Kluyveromyces lactis: one gene and its partner. Each later gene encodes a partner of the first gene's protein in a complex. Links are inferred from orthologs where the notes say so. Each region holds a gene or a part of one and is shown on either strand. Other genes may lie near its edges.

What was found.
Region 2: PTA1 (region 1) and PFS2 share a complex: the UniProt entries of both Saccharomyces cerevisiae proteins name them as parts of the cleavage and polyadenylation factor (CPF) complex. The link is inferred for Kluyveromyces lactis from reciprocal best matches to the Saccharomyces cerevisiae genes PTA1 and PFS2.

What each region holds. Positions count from the first base shown.
Region 1 is NC_006037.1:330,481-335,050, forward strand, and holds PTA1 (RNA-processing protein PTA1), read right to left. Parts: upstream 3,034-4,570; coding exon 559-3,033; downstream 1-558. Other genes in the region: HAP5 (Hap5p), read right to left, coding at 3,585-4,055; SNX3 (Snx3p), read left to right, coding at 4,348-4,570. UniProt on the Saccharomyces cerevisiae protein: Essential in pre-tRNA processing. Component of the cleavage and polyadenylation factor (CPF) complex, which plays a key role in polyadenylation-dependent pre-mRNA 3'-end formation and cooperates with cleavage factors including the CFIA complex and NAB4/CFIB.
Region 2 is NC_006041.1:644,257-647,813, reverse strand, and holds PFS2 (cleavage polyadenylation factor subunit PFS2), read right to left. Parts: upstream 2,049-3,557; coding exon 690-2,048; downstream 1-689. Other genes in the region: PFK27 (6-phosphofructo-2-kinase), read left to right, coding at 1-297; BSC6 (Bsc6p), read right to left, coding at 2,445-3,557. UniProt on the Saccharomyces cerevisiae protein: Integral and essential component of the cleavage and polyadenylation factor (CPF) complex, which plays a key role in polyadenylation-dependent pre-mRNA 3'-end formation and cooperates with cleavage factors including the CFIA complex and NAB4/CFIB.

The DNA of each region.
Region 1 (4,570 bases):
CCTTCCTGAAGCAGTCTAACTAATCCAACAGATGTTAAACACAATGAATAAACGCACACCTCTTTTCGGGCCTTGGTTCGTTCTGTTTATCACTTTCACTTCCTCTGACTTAGTTAGATTCCTGAAAACATATTCAAGAAGAAGCGATGTTGAAATTATTTTTTTTTTCAAATTTCAGCGAGACGGCATTAGTTCATTTCTTTTTCTCAAAGAAGCTCTGTGTGTGTCCTTTGTTTCGAAGGGAAACGAGAACGAGATGAGATCGTGCTGTGCGTGCGTTAACTATATGTTTTAACGATAATGTGGCTAAAAGGTTATATTTTTGAAAACTTCAAATTTCTCATTAAGTGACTGATACATGGTGGAATTTCAGCCAAACCTATTGGGCATTAGCGAGCTATGATTCTCTTTTATTCGTTGACGGTTTGATAGGAAAGTAGTAAGTTTCTCCTTACATATTGCTTTTGGAACGCAACCAAATTGCAATATCTTCGACGGCTAGTATATAGATATATAAATTTAGAAATCAGGGTTTACATTGATTCAGAATAGCTTTACTCAGGAAAAATACTTGTTCAATAGTGAATCGCATTGTGGTTTGATACTTTCGTCTACTTCAGCCATAGATTCGAGGGCAACTTTGATGAACGGTTTCACTGGAGGTCTGAACATCAACATGAATTTCAAAGACTGGAACCCCAATACCGATCTAGTAGGATCTAAACATAGTGATTTCATCTTTTCGATGTGTTCTTGAGTAAGTAACGGCATTTCACTGACCATTCGAATAAACAATCTTCTGTGGGAGTCATCAAGTTTGGGGATCATGAAATCTAGCACCTTTACTGACCATTCATTATATATGGTATGATCTTTACCATCGGAAATCAATTCCTCATGGTACCACTCTTCACTTAGCCATTCAAGTACAAGCGTGATTCTGTTCTGGAAATCCTCACAGAAGTAGTCAAAAATTGCGTTGGTGACAATATCTCTCACATCTTGATTCGATGACACTCCTCTAGAGCAGAGTCTAGATAATAAGAATACCCAGGAGGTCTTATTGTCCCAATTCATTAGTAGAACTTTGTCCAATGGATTTGTACTTTGTAATTGTGTCATTGGAGTGCTCACATCAGTTTTAGTTGGTATCAGTAATATATTCTGCACAATTCTTTGCAAGTGAGTCAACTTCTCATCATAAGTTAAAGTTGGAACACCCAAGGATACTGTATGACTGCTTGATGGTTCTGCATCTTCCACTCTTTCGATCTTTGCCCTTTTGCTTTCTGGTGGCTGTATAGGAGCTGAATCATCAATTACGTACCTATCGTCCGCAGGCTGCTGTAAAGGTTCTTCGTTTTTCATTGCAACTTCTTGCTTTATTGGCAAAGCTGCAGAATTCTCTTCTCTGGGACGTTTACTAGCTTGACTTTGGCTACTGTTGTTGAATGGGACTGGACTACTATCGTTGGAGATAGTTGCGCTCTGTTGTTGAGCATTGTTTTGTAACCACTTGTTTATCAAATCGGTGTACCTGGACGCAACTATGGATAGTCCATTAATGGCAGTACCTGTGTTTGTGTTACTTAAAGCCTCAGTACATATTTTAACCATGGTATCTTGAGACAACTTCGAGACATCGAATCCGGAGGTGACGGGGTTCATTAAGGCAAAAACGGCAGAATATGAGTTATCGACAGAGGTATGAGCAGGATTCAAAAAATGTGGATGCTTTGTCGTGGATTTAGTGAAAGCATAACTCTGAAGGGATTGCAATACAGAAAGATCAGGCGGTGGGGGTGGAGGAGCAGGTATGTTCTTTACGGGGGCATGTATCTGAGGTTGAAAATTATTCAGTAACGGTGGAGTAGATGCCGTATTCATCATTGTATTTCCTATCATTGGCGAAACAATCGGTGGCATTTGAATAGGAGACGGAGATTTCGTTGTCGCTGAAAATGTTCCTGATGAAGAATCTGAAGAAGAGTCGTTAACTTCCTTCACTCTAGTGTATTTTTTTTTATCAGCTGGAGTCATTTTATGTTCAATCGCAGCCGGATCATAATTTAGAATACCTTTAGCTTTGGTCTCTTCGCCAATAACGAATAGAGTCTGTGAAATTTTAGCTAGTTTGTTTCTATACTGTGTCATGGATCCACTGTTTTTGAGTAGTTGACTTTTAATTCCGAACTGAACTAAATTTCTGTAACAACGTTCCACAAATCGCTTTGCAAGTCTGTATTGTAAAGTGGGTTCATCATCTCTTTGGAATTTCATGTCAATGTTGAATTTCAGTAAAGCGGATGCGATTCGAATTGTGGCCAATGGTCTCTGCTTCATAATAAAAGAAAGACTATGAAGAGCACCTGTGAACCATGGTGCACACATCATTGGTTCCTCAATTAAAAAAGTTAACAATTTATCTAACAAATATTTGGCTTCAGCCTCCAACGCTTGCTTATTAGATATCACAGGATGATTTTCTGGTATACTTCCCACGCTAATTCCGGGTCCTGAGGTGTGCACAATAATGATTTTCGAAATGAGCTTCACACTTGCTAATTTTACCCCCGTTCCTCTTGAATGGTTATTTAGATCATTGTCAGACAAATCCAAAGGATAGCAGGTCTTCCAGTTGGCAATGATAAGTTCTTTAAACTTTAACATTACCGACCAAAGTTTATCATCAGAAGTCTTTGCTACTAAATCAAATAATCGGTCATAAATATTACCAAGACATAGTATACAGTTTTTGTAAGTGACATAATCTCTTGTTTCAGCCATTTCCCAAAGCGCAGTGATGTTTTGACATACAATGAATGGTTTTTCACTTGATGGAATCTTATCATGAACCAATATATCCAATAATAACTGGGTAGAAAATCTCGAGAACCCTAAATTCCGCTTATCATTTAAAAACAATGTGATACCGGTCTCCAAAACCTTAGGAAGCATTTGTTCCGGCATATGCTGCATTGCCATCGCAGCTGCCTGTTGCAACTGGACTAAAGGGTCTACAGAAGTTGACATAGTTTTCTATACTCAGCAAACAGATGATTGAAAACTCACTGGAACAAAACAAAAAAGTACTGACTGTTGAGGTGCTTTGTTTAAAGTTTAACACACGGTTTATAGTATCAACCACGCTTGATGCTATGTCTGACTTGCTCTTGCTGTTTCTGCGCTCTTCAGTCACTTGTGGTTTCTTATAGTCAAAACGAAATCTGAACTTAGTGTTTAATTTTTTTTTCAATTTCATGTTCGTGCTTATAGAGAAGAGAGACTGTGAAAGAGAAAAAGCTACAGATGGTACAAACCTGCCCGAGAATATTTATGGATTTCAGACAGTAATTGACATGACATTTGTAACATTTACTTCGATTGAACTGTATATTACTGATCATGAAATTCACAATTTGTGAGTTAATAATGCTATATTGCTAGAAACAACTAAATAATGTCATAGCTCACCGATGTCGCATTTTTCAGAGGTCAACTGCCTAATCGGTTGAAATATGTAAGTGGGGCATTGTGTTGATTTCTCTCATTTCACTTTATACGCTAATGATTTGGCGGTTTGATCATTGAACGTTTCTGGGTACTATGTCAATCAGGAAATCGAACATATCGGACTTTTGTAATGCATCCGCAATGTCTTGCTTCTGCAACGTACGTCGCTTATTTTCCTCTGCAACACACCATGCTCTCATTGTGAGTTCTGTGATGAAGATTTCGCAGGCTTTTGCAAATAGAATTGGAGCCTCTCCACTAATCATTCTAACTTCTTCGTCAGTTTTCATCACTTTCTTAATCCTTGCTAGTGGTAACGAATGCGATTTGAAGTCGTCTTGGAATTGTGAACCTGGCTCATTCGTGGATTCTATCTCATTAATAAGTTCCTGCCAATACTGTATCATAATTTCTCTGTATCTGCCAGCAAGTCCCTGGCCGACATTATGGAATACGTCGATCTCTTCATCTTCTTCGAGATCCATGAGAGGTCCTTGTTCGTTTGTTACGTTCTCTTGATTATTAGCTGCCGGTTGATCCATGGTTTCGAGGTAAGTGTCATCGACAATATCAGTTAGATTTCATGTGGATCTGTGCTGCTAAGAACAGGGTACGATTTCAATACAGATCCACTCTTAGCATATTATGCGGTTTCCTGAAATCGTTTTAAGGATATGATTGTGAAAATAATATCTATGGCTTTTCATTATAAAAAAGACCATTTATGAAGGGTACCTCAACCAATTCCTGCAAAGTAACGAAGGTGGGTAAAGAGTGAATAATACCTTGAAAAACCTAATCGGGCAAGGTCCACGATTATATGGATTCGGTAATATGTGCCCCCAAAGACAGTTCCAATCATTTACTACAACTGCAGAGTCTACACTTTCACATACAACTCACAAGCAATTATCCGGTGCAACAATTTATGATGAGCCAGAAAACTTTCTAGAGATAGAGGTTTGCAACCCAAAGACTCATTTCCCTAGTGGCGATGCTAAGGGAATGTATACAGATTATGAAATTATATGCAGGACGAATCTTCCTGGCTTTTCTA
Region 2 (3,557 bases), on another chromosome or scaffold:
GCAGGACAATTTTCTGCAGACGATAGTAATATGTACTACTTCCCCTCGCAATACTGTTCCGATACAGCAGAACTTATCAATACAATGGAATATTTCATGGAGAATTATTCTAAAATGTACGGATACGGATACATCGAAAAGGCTAACGAATTTTTGAAGTATGGGACATCGTCCCCTACTTCTCCTCAACCATCCTCTTCCCGTGATAGATCTGATGCCATAGATGAAAATGTCCGAAAATCCAATATAATGACGTTGCACGAAAGTATCAATGATACTTATCTACAAACGTTGTAATCTCTTATACCATATGATTTGGCTATATTTATTAGAGTTTGAATGCCAGTGCTCCTTGCCAATTGATACACCAATTATAAAAAAAATATTAATGACGAAATGATATCTTATAAATTTAATGACCTTTTGACCGCCAGTTGATTAAGCGACTGGAATTGTAACGACCTCCTAACACTTTTTTGTTTTTATTTCTCGGTTCTTTTTAACACTTTTATATATTCAACAACTACTGATTCTTTTTTTACCTATTTAGTATAGTATTTTACTCGTTAACCTCTATTTTAGTTTATTCAATCGATACAGTCTACTTATTAATGATGAAGAAAAGGTAGATTTACATTTAATCTGCTTAAATAATATTGATGCTATAATTTCCATGACTTTCAATTGTCTTAAAAACTTAGGCCTGGTAATCCTGATCCCAAACCTGGTAAAGTACTGACAGATGGTCGCTCAGGTTCAACTGATCTGGAACCGTCGCCATTTTCATTATTATTGGAGTCTTCACTTGGTGGCAAAGCAACACCGTGTTCTGTTTTGTTTCTGACAGCATTAATGTTATTATTGATACCGAAGTACCAAGCATTAACTTTTTCATTGTTATATGTTGGATCATCAAAGGCGTTTGGATCGACTGCTCTCGATCTCGTCCAGAATCGAATAGTCCTATCTTTCGAGGCGCTAGCCATGATGTGACCAATTGGACTATATGCTAATGATGTAACACATTTTTCATGTGCATATGGAATGTTGTGTGTAGGTTTGTTTGGCTGATTTTCCTGGGATAGATCGAAATGTTTTATAGATCCATCATAGCATCCAACGGTAAACACTGTTTCATCGATTGGATGCCACTGTAATGTCATGTAGTCGACATCATCACGAACACTGAAAAGCTCTTTAGCCTGTTGTCGTATATCATATACCTTGCATGTTTTATCCTTCGAAATTACAGATAGTAAGTTTCCCTGTTTGGGTTGGAATTTCGTCGAGATGATAGTATGTTTAAAACCAAGCATGGTGGATACGCAGCTACCACTACGCGGATCCCAGAATTTGATAAGATTGTCTTTGGATCCTGATACGATTAAACCCATCTTCGGATGCCAGTCGCATGATTTGACGTCCCAATGATGGCCTGATAGCACCCTTTCTTGTTGTCCGTTGCTAAAGTTCCATATTTTCAACACATTATCATCAGAACAACTGACAAACTTCTGGTCGGTCGGACTAAACGATATTTCCCTTACACATTCCATATGTGCTTGGTCCATGACTTTAACCATATTAAAGTTTGGTTGCCAGATCTTAAGCTCCCCATCAGCGCTACCACTAACCATCCAATCCCCTGTATGTGAGTATGTCATCACGGTTACTGCACTATCATGAGCCTGCATAATACTTTCGAAATTGAAACTGGATCCACTCCATAATGAAAACTCTCCATTGTATGTAGCTACCACTAACCTTCTTCCTTCTGGCGTCCACGTAAGAGCCGGAATAACGTGCTTTACCTTATTTGATGAAAGATGCGTAAATTTGGTTGCTGTATTGATGGCATGCCCATGAAAACCATAGGCATCTGGCGGTAGTATATGAGCATTATATGAGGTTTCTGCCTCTATATATGACGAATTCTCCTGGCCATGCTTCTTCAAGAAATATAGTCTATCATAAGATGCAGAAATGTCAATTGTTCGTCTTTGCGATGTATACTTTTTAGTTGTGGTGCCCTCGGTATTAGGATCCATGCTATGTCTTTTTCAAGCTGAGACCAGGCTGTGTTGAAATTTCTGAGAACAGTATGAATAGTAGTTCACCTAAGTTTCGTAATGTGAAACGTTGGCCGTGTCTTTTGATACATGTTTTATGCATTTCCTACCTCTCAATATCATTAAATGCAAGTAATATTCTGATTTCGGTAGTTTTTGATGCCAGCTCGATGTTGAAGTTGCTTCAAGTAAAGAAAAAAAAATAGATCACGTGCAGCAGACCTTAAGCATAAGAATGAAGCTGATTCAATTACTTCTGTAGTATGGATTTAAAATACATATGTCCGTTAAGAAGTAGGAGCGATTCCCCTATTATATATAAGTAAATAATTTCCATGCGCGGCACGATATTCATATCTGTTGAGCTTGAGTAATTTATAAGTACTCTCTATGTCCTTTGATAATTTTCGGGTAGAGCATCCAAACTATGTTGAATGCCAAAGAACCAAGGAAGCATAGAAATGGATAGTATTGGAACCCAAAAATCTTGTTTGCAAACCCAAAAGAGTATGTTATTAATGCACCACCACACCCTCCGAAAGCGATTGCTGTACCAATACCACTAACTTGTTGATGTTTCGGTAGGATTTGGATTGCAACAACACTTGCGTTAGGGAACAAGGGACCTATGAAGATACCAGCGCCAAAGATCATCAACGATAAAACAAAGAAATAGAATGTCGATGTGGAATTGATTAGATTGATGATAACGAATAGGAAAAAAAACAATGAACAAGTCAAACCGTACCAAACGCTTGACCTGTATTCATTTTTGAACCTTTTTGTAACAAAACCAAGACCTAATCTACCGATAGTGATCCCAGACCAGAATGACGCAGTAACAAATGACATAAGGAACTTCTCACCTTTCTTATAATTCAACAAATATGTGAATAGCCATGTCCCAACACCAATTTCTGTACCTAAGTACAAGAATAAGAAAAATGCATACAAGAAAATCATCGGAGGATACTTCGATAACTGGTACCATTTTATCTCTTCCTCATTTTCAATACCACCTGATTCATCGGGGACTCCTACACAGATGTATCTGTATTTGGTAGCAGTTTCGTATTTAAAGGCCCCCATGCAGAGTGCCAACCCCACAAGAGCAAACACCAAAGGGACCCAAAAGATATAAGACCAATCCAAATAATGATCGAAGGTTGTAACTAATGGTGGGGTTACACCAGCGGCCAACCCGTATATTCCATGAAGCAAACCCATCCATTCATTCTTTCTAGTCTCTAAATTACCAAAGTAGAAATTACCTGTAGAGTCAACAAACCCAACACACATACCTAGCGGAAAGAAGCATATCGCATAAAGATAGAGCGAATATGGTTTTAGGGCAAGAACCAAGTAGGTAAATGCAGCAAGTATACATGATGCTGTCATTACGCCTCGAGACCCCCATTTTTTATGCAAAATATCATTTAAGACCGATGCCGACACATAGCCCATCAATTGAAGGAAAAACACTATCGA